3 linked regions of the Coturnix japonica genome follow. Each later gene encodes a partner of the first gene's protein in a complex. Links are inferred from orthologs where the notes say so. Each region holds a gene or a part of one and is shown in the gene's direction. Other genes may lie near its edges.

Region 1 (4,187 bases):
GGAAGGGAGCGGGACCCCAGGAGGGAGCGGCCGAGCACAGCACGCGGCGCTGCTGCAACCCGGAGTCACGGCCCCGAGCAACGGGGGGGGACAGCGGCAGCCCCCGGACGGCGCAACATCGCGGCACCGTCTCAAAGCGGCTCCGCGGGGAGCTCCGGGGCTCGGCTCCCGGCTTCGTTCCCGCACGGACCGGGAAAACGGGACGCGGCCGGGACCGCTCCCGGTGTCGGGGGTCTCTCCGCGGAGAGGTGTTTATGGCACGGATTAGGGCCGGGCCGGCCCCGCCTCGCAGCCCCGCGGTGTTTTACGACGCAGCCTTATGGACTCCTAATGGGGGTCACGGCCACTTGATGGCCCCGGCAGCGATAACGCCGCGCTAATTGCAGCGGCGGCAATTAGCCCGAGCGCCCAGCCACGGGAACGGCGCCCAGCAACGCGCCGCGGGGGCTGCGGGCTGCGGGCGGTGGGCGGCGCCGAGAAACGGCCGGGACCCGGGGGCGGGGGATCGCGGGGGCCCCGCACGCCGTGACGTTACGCGAGTGACGTGAACGCGCCTCGTGCGCGTGACGTGGTCCCGGGCAGCGGGCGGGGCCGGGGCCGCCCCCGGCGAGGCCGCCCGCGGCGCCGCGTAACCCGAGCGCCGCCCTACAAAGTGCCCGCGCCCTCGGCACAGCGCGGCGGGGCGAGAGTCGGGGCCGCCATGGGGCCGCGGCGCTGAGCGGAGCCCGCCCGGCCCCGCAGGACTTTGCCCGGGCCCTCCCCGACGAGGCCGGTGCGGGGCCGGAGCAGCCGGAGCAGCCGCGCCGTCGGGGCTCCGCGCAGCCGGCGCTGCCCGACGGTCGCGGGGCGCCGCAGCTCCTGGCCGCGGTGCCGCTTCCCACGGGAGGCCCGGAAGATGCTGCCGCTCTGGCTCGTCCTGGCGGGGCTGCTGCTGGCGGTCGGCCCGGCCGCTTCGCACCGCGGGGAGATGGAGCCAGGTACGGACGGGACGGCTGGGGGGGTGAAGGCGGCTCCGGTGCTGGTTTTTCCCGGCCCCGCTTCTCGTGCTTTCGAGCATCGGCAGCCCGGCTGCGGGCTGGGCTGGGTGCTGCGGGCGGTGCCGGTGCGGTGCGGTGGGGCGCACGCGGTGCTGACAGCTGCGGGGCTCGGGGCGCGGCGGCGGCGCGTGGAACACGCGGACAGGGCGGGGGCTGCGGGTCCCGGAGCGGCCGAACCGTCGCTGCTTTGGTTTGTCCCAGCGGTGGTTTTGCTCCGAGCGGCTCTTGAGTTTAGTACAGAGCTGAATATTTGCTTTGGAGCCGCTTTACCAGCGTGGGCCGGGTCCGCGGGGAGCCGGAGGTGGTGGTGGAACTTTGACGCTGATCGCTCCCGGTTCCTTCCCGTCCCAGTACGGCAGAATGGGCGCAGACCCCTCTGGAAGGACCGTGGCGTGGGTGGCCTTGGCCGGGAACGCGGCAGTGCCAGGCGGTCGCGGGGGAAGCCTTGTCCCAGCGCCCGGGGGCAGAGTCCAGCCCTTGTACACGCGTCTCTGGCCAGGACGTGTGTGTGTGTGTGTGTGTGTGTGTGTGTGTGTGTGTGTGTGTGCGCTGTGCACGCCGAGAAGCGCGGTGGGTTCCTGCTGTCCGGGGCGCTGTGCGCGGCGCTCAGCGCGTCTCTCCCGGGCTGCAGAGCTGATTGAGAGCCCGCTGCTGGAGTCGGAGGAGCAGCAGCTCCTGTTGGAGCCGGGCAATGCTCTGAAGCTGCACTGCAACGCTAACCGCAGCGGTGCCACTGTGGTCTGGTACAAGGAGTCGCGGCCGCTGCTCCCGGGGCCCCGCGTCCGCCTCCAGCCGGGCACAGTGCAGATCTCTGAGGTCGCCTACGAGGACTCGGGGCTGTGTGTGTGTCGGGCGCGGGGCACCGGGGAAGTCCTGCACAACTTCACCATCTCTGTAGTGGGTGAGGGCCCGGAGCAGCACTGAGGGGAGCACAGCCTGATTTACCCCATCCTGAAGACAGGGGCACCCCTCGTGACCCGCTTTCCTTTGCAGACTCGCTGGCATCGGGTGATGACGATGAAGACAGTGATGGGGATGGTCCCCACGGAGACCGCAGCGAGGAGCCGGTCTATGTGCACAGAGGTGAGTGCTGTCATGGGGGGAGCGACTGGGGGCAGCCCCCACCCGAGGCCATAAGCCACATCCCACGATGCCCCCCGTCTCTCCCCAGCACCGTACTGGACTCACCCTCACCGCATGGACAAGAAGCTGTATGCTGTCCCTGCGGGGAACACCGTCAAGTTCCGCTGCCCGGCCTCGGGCAGCCCCAGCCCCAGCATCCGCTGGTTCAAGAATGGACGTGAGTTCCGGGGGGAGCACCGCATCGGGGGCATACGGGTAAGGGCCCCCCCCCATGTCATCCTCTCCTCCTGGTGTCTGGCTCAGCTGCAGCCCCCTGAACCTGTTGCTCCCCGTCGCAGCTCCGGCACCAGCACTGGAGCCTGGTGATGGAGAGCGTGGTGCCCTCGGACCGTGGCAACTACACCTGTCTGGTGGAGAACAGGTTCGGCAGCATCCGCTACAGCTACCTGCTGGATGTGCTGGGTGAGGGTCCGCAGGTGGTGCCAGGGGGGTCCCTGCTGCCACTGTGCTGGCGAGAGGGGATGGGCTGCAGGGGATGAAGGCAGAGGAGCCCATCCTCATCTGCTCTGCTTGAGCAGCCCTCGTGTCCCAGCACCTGAGGGAGGTAGGGCTGGGACCCCCCTGGGTACTGTGTGTGACTTTGCCCCTATGCCCTGTGTGCAGAGAGGTCCCCGCACCGGCCCATCCTGCAGGCGGGGCTGCCTGCCAACACCACTGCCCTGGTGGGCAGCGACGTGGAGTTCTTCTGCAAGGTGTACAGCGATGCCCAGCCCCATATCCAGTGGCTGAAGCACATTGAGGTGAACGGCAGCAGCTATGGCCCTGACGGGGTGCCCTACGTGCAAGTGCTCAAGGTAGCAGCTGGGGGGTGGCAGGGTCACATGGAGCTTGTCCCCACACAGGGATGCTCACGGTCCCTCGTTCTGCCCACAGACCGCAGATATCAACAGCTCCGAGGTGGAGGTGCTGTACCTGCGCAATGTCACCATGGAGGACGCAGGCGAGTACACCTGCCTGGCAGGGAACTCCATCGGCCTCTCCTACCAGTCAGCGTGGCTCACTGTGCTCCCAGGTAGGGCTGAGGTTAGAGCTGGGGTTAGGGCTGAAAGCAGCATGGGGACCGTGGTGTGGACTGACGTGTGCTCTCCTTCTAGAAGAAGAGCTGGTGCATGAAGCTGAGACCTCCGAGGCCAAGTACACCGACATCATCATCTACACGTCGGGCTCGCTGGCTGTGGCCATGGCCCTCATCATCGTGGTGCTGTGCCGCATGCAGACACAGTCGAGCAAGCAGCCCCTGGAGCCCATGGCAGTGCACAAGCTCTCCAAATTCCCACTCATCCGACAGGTGAGGGCTGAGCTGGGGGCACCTTGGTGACAACTGGCCCTGCTGCTGCCACCTGTCCCTGTTGCTTGTCCTTGGGGCTGCCCTCACCCCATTGCTCTCAGCAGCACCAGGTCTCAGTGTGACTCCCAGGTGTCTGAGGGCTGCTGTGCTGTCCCCGCAGTTCTCCCTGGACTCCAGCTCATCAGGGAAGTCCAGCACGTCGCTGATGCGTGTCACCCGCCTCTCCTCCAGCTGTGCCCCCATGCTGGCGGGCGTCGTGGAGATGGACCTGCCCCTGGATTCCAAGTGGGAATTCCCTCGAGAAAAGTAAGGAGCTGGAGAGGGCTGGCAGTGCCGGGGCACTGTGCCCCATGGGCTTGGAGCAGGGTCAGCCCCACTGTGTGCTCACAGCTCTGCCTCCCCTGGCAGGTTGGTGCTGGGGAAGCCCCTGGGCGAGGGCTGCTTTGGGCAGGTGGTGCGGGCGGAGGCGTACGGCATCGACAGGCAGTGGCCGGACCGAGCTGTCACCGTGGCTGTCAAAATGCTCAAAGGTATCAGTCGTGCTGTGGCGTCCTGGGCATGGCTGCTGCATTGGTGCCACCCCAGCATCAGTGACACGGCCCTCTGTCAACAGACAACGCCACTGACAAAGACCTGGCTGACCTCATCTCCGAGATGGAGATGATGAAGCTGATGGACAAGCACAAGAACATCATCAATTTGCTAGGAGTGTGCACGCA
Region 2 (4,295 bases), on another chromosome or scaffold:
TGTTGCTACAGCTGGAGCTCAAATTATCACTTGGCCTGTAATCAAACATTAGTCACTTGTCAGACTATAGCAAACTCATAGCAGCTGATGCCCAGCCTGCCAGTTGCCTGCTCCCACACCGCAACCTTCCTCCCTTTAGGAAGGGCTGACAGTGGTCCCCCATTCAGACTTTTATCTGCCTCCAGTGGGAACAAGTTAATCACCGTTAACAGAAACAGACGAAACAAGAGAAAGGCTCTGCCTGGACCTGAGAGGTACAAAAACCCATCCTACACTCTGGAAGAAACCTTTAGCAACTTTCAAGAGGCATTTCAATCCATCAGCTCATTACTAGTCATTACCTGTAATTTTACCTCGAGGGCGTCTATTTTCTAAAAATAAAATGAAATGCTCTTAATGCCTTCATTCTTTTGTTAAGCAACAACTTTATCTCTTGGGAACATCTCTCTAACAGCCTGTCTAATTGGTGTTTTATTCCGAGGTGTCCCAACTTGTGTTAGAGTTCACACAACCAAGTACTGAGTCTTTGCAATGTTTTGAGGCAGTTCTTGCCCAGGTGTTGTTGTCTGAAGCCGACATGAACAGCAACGTAAGACCTGTCTTTAGGATGAGATCTTTGCATCACGCCCACACGGGCAGATACAAAGTGTAACCAAACTATCAGACTGAAATGTACATCTCAATTTGTTTCTCTGAGGCATTTCTCATTGGAAAATGTTCTGTGTTTGGTGAGCAGCCAGATGTACCAGCCTCCAGTCCCAGAAAGGAGAAGGCGATACAACTACAAGGTGCCGGCCCATGAATTACCAGGGGTGTCAGGTCCTTGGTCACCGAGTCTCTGATTATTACTATGAGTGATCACAATGGCAATATCACTTGACACAGTGCCACAAAGAAACTACCAGGTGAAGGAAAAAAGTATAAAAGCAGCAGCCATCAGCACAGCACCTTTATTTCCTCGCGTTTTCCACTTGAGAGGTGCTCCCTCCCCTCGGGGCTCGGGGATACCTCGGCTCCCCCGACGGCGAGAGGCGGAAGAACGCGGCGTCGGGGCCCTCGGGGGCTCCTTGAGAAGGCGGTTTGTGTCCCCTGAGGGACAGGAGGCGAATGGAGCAGCAGCAAAAGGAGGGAGGGAAGGAGGACGGCTCCAAAACCGCGTCCAGGTGCGGGCTCCCCGCAGGGACCCGGGGGGCTGCAGGGCCGCGCCCGCCGCGATCTTCGCCCCAAGGAGCAGGGGTGAAGGAGGTGACCCCGAAGGGCAGAGGGCAGCCGACTCGGTTCCACCGCCCCGCAGCCTCCCGCCCCGTCTCAGCCCGGGTCCCGCCCCCGAGGCAGCCCTTCTCCCTGCGGGAGCCGCTCTGCTCCCCTCGCAGACCGGGAAGGATGCGGGCGGCAGCTCCGAGGTAATTATTAATGGCCGTGCCCACCGGGGCGGGGGGGAAGGAGTAAGGTGAGGATAAAAGGGGGCGGCGGGGGGCTGGGAGGAGGGAAGTACCGTCGGGAGCATGGCCCCGCCGCCGCCGGTGCTTCCAGTGCTGCCGGTGCTATTGGTGCTCGGGCGGCCGCTGCTTGGGGCACCGGGGCAGGGCGCGGGCACCTGGGCCCGCTTCGCCCGCCTGCCCTACCCGCAGGACCAACTCTTCCTCTATGACACCTTCCCCGATGGCTTCCTCTGGGGTGCGGGCAGTGCTGCCTATCAGACAGAGGGAGGCTGGCGGCAGGGCGGCAAAGGGGCCTCCATCTGGGACACCTTCACCCATCGACCCACCACTCCAGCAGGGTCCATCCTGCCAGGTCCAACAGGAGGTGATGTGGCCAGCGACAGCTACAACAACATATTCCGCGACATCGAGGGGCTGCGGCACCTGGGGGTCTCCCACTATCGCTTCTCACTGGCCTGGACTCGACTGATGCCCAATGGCACAGCACCCATCAATCCCGCTGGGCTGGCTCACTATGGCCGAGTTTTGAGCCGGCTGAGGGAGCTGGGCATAGAACCTGTCGTCACTCTCTACCACTGGGACCTGCCACAGGGCTTGCAAGATGCCTTTGGCGGCTGGGCCAGTCCTGTCCTGCCTGACCTCTTCCGTGACTATGCCGAGCTCTGCTTCCAGCATTTTGGTGGACAGGTCCGCTACTGGTTGACCATGGACAACCCTTATGTGGTGGCCTGGCATGGATATGGCACTGGGAGGCTGCCACCCAACGTGCAGGGTGGCCCACACCTGGGCTACCGTGTGGCACACCACTTACTGCAGGTAAATGACGGTTGGCCCCACAGTGGGTGGTGGGAAGGGGCCTTCTCCTCCCATCAGAGGAGCTGCAGTCGCTCCTCAGGCCATGGATTATGTCAGCAGGAAGGGTACCCACAGCCTTCCTCGTTGCACGGATCAATTTGCTGGGCAGCAGCTGGATTGGAAACTAAATCAGTGTGGAATGGCGGCTGGGGCTGAATGTGCCCCATGCTCCCTGATGGTAGGCAGGTAAAAAACATACACTTTGTAAACTGGAGATATGATCTTTCTATTTGCAGTTATCTTAAGGTAACGTCAAGATAAAGTTACAGAGAAGTTGTGGATGCCCTGTCCCTGGGAGGTGTTTAAGGCCAGGTTGAATGGGGTCCTGGGTAACCTGATACAGTGCTTGATCAAGGGGTTGGCAGCTTTGCCCATGGCAGGAGGGTGGTACAACATGATCTTTGAGGTCCCTTCCCCTCCAAGCCATTCTATGATCCTGTGACACGGAGTTGAAATGTTCTCTGTATGCCACAGAAATATTTAGTTCTGCCCTCCAGCATTTGCAAGTGCTATTGGTGATGGGTGAGACGCATTCAGCTGTGCCGGTTCAGCACTTGCAGTTACTGTGGAAATACTCAACACAGCTACAGAAGGAATTCAAACATTTGATTTAAACAAGTCTTACTGAGTTAGCGGAGACAATAGAGGTAGCTGAAATGTCACGCTGAAGGATGCCCTTGACAAAATACAGGCTTTTTTTGACAATGTAAATAATGTTGGAAAAAAGAAAAAAACAACTCTCCTTGTCAGCTAGTTTAGTCAATGGCATGAATACTTTGCTATAAATAATTTTTATAGAGAGAATATAGTATAACTGTAATTTGTCCTGGAAGCGTTTGTGAATTCTTGGGGAGAATTAAGCAAAATTGTGTACAGATCTTTTTACCATCAGGGTAAAGGACTGCTAGACTCCTGTTTGAATACCAGGAGTGATGTGGCCCCCAAGGCATGGTCTGTTGGTGCACATTTACGTTCTCTGCTAACCTTCAAACATGGCTTACCCGCAGCAGTCTGTGTTATAGAGTGTCATACATGAGATGAGAACTTCAGGAAAACACCCAACACTTCTCACTCAACTTTTTGCCACTTCCTTTGCATTGTTTAGAGTTACGCAGATTTTTAGACAAAATATAGGTGGGGAGGATGTGAGCAAGATACCTGGCAGTGCTGAAATTCCTGGTCCAGAAACCTTTGCACTCTCAGCAACCCTTAGGGAGCAACCTGGCCAAGTCTGTGCTGTGATAGTTCAGTTCACTGAACTAAATGAGTAAATAAATAAAGCTATTCCTAAACTTCAGTACTTGCAGGATTAGCCACAAGTTTTGCAGCAGGGCTGCATCACCTCACATTTTTATGCTTTTCAGAGTCATTGCATAGCTGCTGATGTGCTGTTTGGCACGCTTTGCATAGTTACTCTGAAGGCAGTGGGGCTCCACACGAGGGTAAAGGTGTCAGCTTGGTTTGTGGGGTGCAGAACCTCAGAGGCTGGAGCTCTGTGTCTCTCCCTCTAGAGATGACACAGAACAGAAATCATTATAGCTGCAAATGTAAGCACTCAGGCTGTCAAAAGAAAGATCACTTTGGAATAATTACTTTAAGGGCGGTGGACTTGCTGAGAAAGAGTTTTAATGCTGTCTGTCACTTCATTTTTTTAAAATTATTATTATTACTTTTTATTTTCTGCAAAATAAGCAGGTAATAAGGCAGTTCCTGTTCTGTATAGTTCTCCCCTCTACCTGTTGTTCAGTCTGTAGCTTCAGACTCAAATTAAATTAGGCCAGATAAATAAATGCTATGTCTGTCCTTGGCTTTTCCATAGTGCTGTCTGTTCTGAGTATTGATATCCCACATCACCGCAGTATCTGAGTCTCTCATAATCTGAAGGATATGGTTGTTGAAGGAAAACGCCTTTTCTATTTACCAATGGAGAAACCGAGGCACCAGCTTGTCAAGGCACTGTAGAAAGTACAATTCAACCAGGCAAGTTACCAATACTTG
Region 3 (4,199 bases), on another chromosome or scaffold:
TTTACACAGGTGCAAGTTTCTAGATTTACACAGGTGTGATAGAAGAATTTGGCAGAGTTCTACTAATTTTAAACTTAAAAAATAATCAGATCTACTATGGTAGTTTTATCAAGCTGTATTCTGTGCTGATGGCACTGCTCCACAGCTGTTGATGGGACTAAGAATTTCACAGTGTCTAACTAAATCCTGTAACTTACTAACTTCTCTGCCTGAAAGCAGTGAATCTAGGACTGTTATGCTTAAAATCTCCAGGCGTCTTCTTAAGAAGTGATTCAGTTATTGCTTTGTGCTCTTTTCATTCTGTATTCATTTCTGAAACAAACAAGCCAACAGCTAAATACAGCCTATTGTCACAAGTATTCCTATCACTGCTGCTTAATCTGTATAGCCAGCATCCCCTTAGTACAGTACTTCTATACAATAAGCAGAACAATATATGTTTCTTAATCAAAAAAGTTGCTGATGAACTGTTGTACATTGACAGGACAAACGAAAAAGCAGATATAGTATCTTGAAACCATTTTAACATCACTTTACACTTATTTCTTTTCAATTTACTCACATCCCAAGCTTGTTTGCTATACCTGAATCAATAGAAATGTGCCATTATGAGTGATTTTACTTTTGATTCAGATCCTAGATCTTCTAGCCATGCTAACCTATGTGGCTCTCTAAAAGACCACTAACCAAACATGCAATGAGGGAACAAACTTCAGATTCTAAGTATTCTGCAGCTGATCTTCAGCTGTTTGGTCAACTCCAAATTATTTAAGTGATTCAAAGAGGAGCAATAAAAAGAAGAGCTTAGTTGGAGTGAGGTGTGTGCACATCAAGTTTCACTTGCTTAAATGAGGTGACACAGACATCAATCCGCCAAACTCACTGCTAAAGTCACACCATAATGAAGGAACAGACCCAGAACAATTTAATCTCAGATTATGATGGATCTGTGATTTTTTTTTTTTAACTTGTGTTTTTGGTTTTAATTTGCTGTTTTCAACTAATCAGAATGTAGTTTAGAAATGAAGAGAGGAGGTAGAAATCTAAATCTGAGGGGAAAAAAAACACAATAAATTTAATGGGTCATTCCTTTCTCTTCACAGAAATTACAGTGGATTGCTCTTTCTGGATTTAACAGTAGAGGCACAGGAAACTTTAAGATGTCACAAGTTTGTCGATAACATTTGAACATATGATTAGCTTTGGTGAGCTGTCTTTAGAAACCTTATATTTCTTCCCCCTACACCTTGCCCAGAGATCCTACGTGCTTTCCTTCCCTTGAGGTTTTGGAAAACTTAAAATGTTGCTTTGACAAAAATCAAGGATGTGGACAAGTTTTTTTGTTTTGTTTTGTTTTGTTTTCCTGTGTGATGTCACTTATCCTGCTCTTCATAAAGCCCTGCAAAGAAGGGAACTTATCTGAGGATTCTTGCTGCAGACACAGACAAACAAGGGAAAGTGAAAAGCGCAAAGGAGTATCAAGTTTCAGATACGGAACAGCCACTAAGAGCTGAGAACCATGACACACACCAGTCCCTGCAGCTGCCTGGAGTATGCGCTGCTTGTGCTGTGTATACTGAAGGCTGCAGTTGCCTTCCCTAACTCCTCTCCACTACTGAATCCCAGCTGGGGGAATGGAGATCAGCTGATGCACTTGTACACTTCTACAGAGAGGAACAGCTTCCATCTCCAAATCAATGCTGATGGACACATCAGTGGTGTTCCTCACCAAACCATTTACAGTAAGTAGCTTATTATGGACCCTCTGTCTTCATGGGAGTAGGGGAGGGGGATCAAGACTTTTGCTTTTTCTATACCTATACAAAATTCCATCATCTTGCCAGGCATACAAAGAGAGGAGCAGAGCTATGGGATCAAAAACATACACAATTCTAATACTCATTTTGTTTAACAAATACTTTGCTTTAAAGAAATATAACAGGTGGGGAAGAGGTATATACATAAGGGGTACAAGGGGTATATAACAGGTAGTTATCTTTGTCTAAGATGACTAAAGTTGTGTGGTTCCTGTGATGCTCTGCAAGCAAAAATTACCTGAATTATCCTTCATTTTATGATTTTACCCATGGTTTCTTGTGGAATTTTTTATTAGTGATTACATTTCCACTGCAATGATAGCATTGCACTGAGAAAAATCACCACAGCAGTTGTGGAAACCAGATTATGGTCATAACATATTTTGGGGTGGAGATATTCGATCTACTAAAATTAGGTCATTTTCTTCCAAATGTATCAAAACCACTCTTTATTGAAGATTGGTTTATAAGAGAAACTTTAGTTATGTGTTTTTAATGCAGATGCATGGCAGAAACTTAGTTGTGCATGGAATGTGGGTAACTGAGTGTGCAACAGTTGATAAAATGGGGGGAAACTGTGAAAGTCCAGATTGTAGTTAAGAAGTGCTAAGCCTTCTGAGTCCATCAGAGGTAATTATTCCCTTTTGTAACTCAAAGGTTCCATTGTAGTTTATTTTCATGGAAAATGCAGGTATTCTTTGCTGGATGCCTGCCTGAACAAATTCATTAGTTTAAAAAAAAAAAAAAAAAAGAAAAGAAAAAGAAAGAAAGTGTAGTTTGGTTTGGTTTGGTTGTCTTTTTTTTTTTTTAGGACAAATCATTCTTAGATAGGATTCCAAAATTGCTTCTCTTTTAACAGCACTCAAATCACAAGTAGCTATGCATCATAAAGTCATTTTTATTACTACTGCATAACATGCCCTTCATCCACACAACTATATTTAATAAGCACATCTTGTAATACTTGTGCAAAATAATATAAGGAACAAAAGACAATTTTAGAAGTTTAATTTATCAAAGAGAAAAAATAACCAAGTTCCCGTATTTCTCTTTTAAGGAATTACTGATGAAACACTTATAGGAATGTATGTTCTGTCTTAATGTTATTTTTCCCATACATCTATGGGTTTTATAAAATTTGTTTTTTGGCATGCTGGGCTATAACCAGAGAGAAGCAAAAGAGAAAACAGCCAGTAAAAATCCATGTTTTGCCCATATCTGTAATGAAAAAAATCCACATATATTTGGAAGGATTGAGTAGGAGGGGTTGAAATCAGTCAGTGGGGTCATGAAAGGGAAGGTGACTGAATTTCTGCCAGGTCACCACTAGCAGTGAGATTCCAGGTAAATAGAAAGTCCAAAGTGCTGTGCAGGCTGGGAGGAGGCTGGATGTGTGCAGCCCTTCTGGGCAGGAACTAAGGGTTACAGAGGGCACACACTCAGTTTAAGAAGATGGCAAGCCATGTACTGTGGTCAGCAGGTCAAGGGAAATTACTTTTCAGCCTTTACTTAGCACCAATGAACCTGGTCTTTTTACATTATTATGTAAAAAAACTCTGTTTCAGATGGACGTGGAGAAATTGGAACTGGTCTAGCAGGGAGTTTTCAGGATAGTCAGTGGCCTTGAACATGAACATAAACAATTTTGGAAAATGTTGAGGGAACTAAGTTTATTTAATGTGGTAAAAAGTAGTTTAAAGTGAATACCATGGGGCAGTCACTACAGGCAGTCATAAAGATGAGGCAGTCAGACTCCCTCTGGTCATGGCCAGAGACAGAACAAAGGAAAAACTGGCCCAGAGTGGAATTTGAGGCTTCAATTGGGATGTTAGAAAAAAAATTTCTTTGGAATGTTAGTGCAGCACTGGAACAAGGGTTCAGACAAAGATCAAGATCAGATCAAGAGATGTAGTGGCATCTCCACTGTAGGAACTTTCCAAGGATCAAACAAAGCCACATCGTACCTGATCTAAGGAGCTCAATAGTCCCAGCTGACATAGAAGATGGGTTCAAATCAGCATGTGGACCAGCAAGGCAAGAGTGTGGTGTCAAATGGGATTCTGGATTTGACATCTTTGCTTTCTCAAAAAGGTGCCTTAATGATCAAGTCTGAGGGTGCTGGCTCTGTGATAATCACAGGTGTGAAGAGTGGACGCTACCTATGCATGGACATGAAAGGAGACATTTTTGGATCGGTAAGTTACCTTTAACAGGTAAAAGACAGGCACAGTCTGCTATATATGATCCATTTCCTCACATAGAGCAAATCTGTATAAGTACAGCAGTAGGATGCAGATTTTGGCAAGCTGATAACCTGCTGCTTAGGTTAAACTTTTTCTCCTCTTTGATTGCACTGAATTGTAGACCTGATAAAGAGTTCAT

The links.
Region 2: the proteins of FGFR4 (region 1) and KL are in contact, whole or in part, in a cryo-EM structure (PDB 7YSW), measured with the Homo sapiens proteins. The link is inferred for Coturnix japonica from reciprocal best matches to the Homo sapiens genes FGFR4 and KL. Residues at the interface, in NP_001341913.1 of Homo sapiens: Asp266, Gln282, Leu284, His286, Ile287, Ile289, Gly295, Ala296, Asp297, Gly298, Phe299, Pro300, Tyr301, Val302, Gln303, Val304, Leu305, Lys306, Asn311, Ser312, Glu314, Leu318, Tyr319, Leu320, Arg321, Asn322, Asp327, Thr332, Leu334, Leu341; in NP_004786.2 of Homo sapiens: Ser539, Gln540, Phe541, Thr542, Asp543, Asn545, Val546, Tyr547, Leu548, Trp549, Asp550, Val551, His553, Ser554, Lys555, Arg556, Leu557, Ile558, Val563, Thr565, Arg568, Tyr571, Val573, Ala576, Gln579, Pro580, Glu625, Arg628.
Region 3: the proteins of FGFR4 (region 1) and FGF23 are in contact, whole or in part, in a cryo-EM structure (PDB 7YSW), measured with the Homo sapiens proteins. The link is inferred for Coturnix japonica from reciprocal best matches to the Homo sapiens genes FGFR4 and FGF23. Residues at the interface, in NP_001341913.1 of Homo sapiens: Glu156, Lys157, Lys158, Leu159, His160, Ala161, Val162, Pro163, Asn166, Asp240, Leu242, Glu243, Arg244, Ser245, Pro246, Lys272, Val273, Tyr274, Ser275, Asp276, Ala277, Gln278, Pro279, His280, Ala308, Asp309, Ile310, Ser312, Gly336, Asn337; in NP_065689.1 of Homo sapiens: Leu32, Gly33, Ser35, Trp36, Gly37, Tyr43, Ala45, Thr46, Ala47, Arg48, Asn49, Ser50, Ile75, Arg76, Ser77, Glu78, Asp79, Ala80, Gly81, Val83, Val84, Tyr93, His117, Gln118, Thr119, Asn122, Gly123, Tyr124, Asp125, Leu158.

What each region holds. Positions count from the first base shown.
Region 1 is NC_029528.1:12,077,187-12,081,373, reverse strand, and holds the start of FGFR4 (fibroblast growth factor receptor 4), read left to right. Parts: upstream 1-1,382; 5' UTR 1,383-1,397; coding exon 1,398-1,938; intron 1,939-2,030; coding exon 2,031-2,120; intron 2,121-2,208; coding exon 2,209-2,375; intron 2,376-2,458; coding exon 2,459-2,582; intron 2,583-2,783; coding exon 2,784-2,974; intron 2,975-3,053; coding exon 3,054-3,192; intron 3,193-3,274; coding exon 3,275-3,468; intron 3,469-3,628; coding exon 3,629-3,774; intron 3,775-3,876; coding exon 3,877-3,998; intron 3,999-4,081; coding exon 4,082-4,187. UniProt on the Homo sapiens protein: Tyrosine-protein kinase that acts as a cell-surface receptor for fibroblast growth factors and plays a role in the regulation of cell proliferation, differentiation and migration, and in regulation of lipid metabolism, bile acid biosynthesis, glucose uptake, vitamin D metabolism and phosphate homeostasis.
Region 2 is NC_029516.1:155,927,694-155,931,988, reverse strand, and holds the start of KL (klotho), read left to right. Parts: upstream 1-1,493; 5' UTR 1,494-1,505; coding exon 1,506-2,258; intron 2,259-4,295. UniProt on the Homo sapiens protein: May have weak glycosidase activity towards glucuronylated steroids. However, it lacks essential active site Glu residues at positions 239 and 872, suggesting it may be inactive as a glycosidase in vivo.
Region 3 is NC_029516.1:67,144,445-67,148,643, forward strand, and holds the start of FGF23 (fibroblast growth factor 23), read left to right. Parts: upstream 1-1,397; 5' UTR 1,398-1,519; coding exon 1,520-1,742; intron 1,743-3,908; coding exon 3,909-4,012; intron 4,013-4,199. UniProt on the Homo sapiens protein: Regulator of phosphate homeostasis. Inhibits renal tubular phosphate transport by reducing SLC34A1 levels. Up-regulates EGR1 expression in the presence of KL. Acts directly on the parathyroid to decrease PTH secretion. Regulator of vitamin-D metabolism.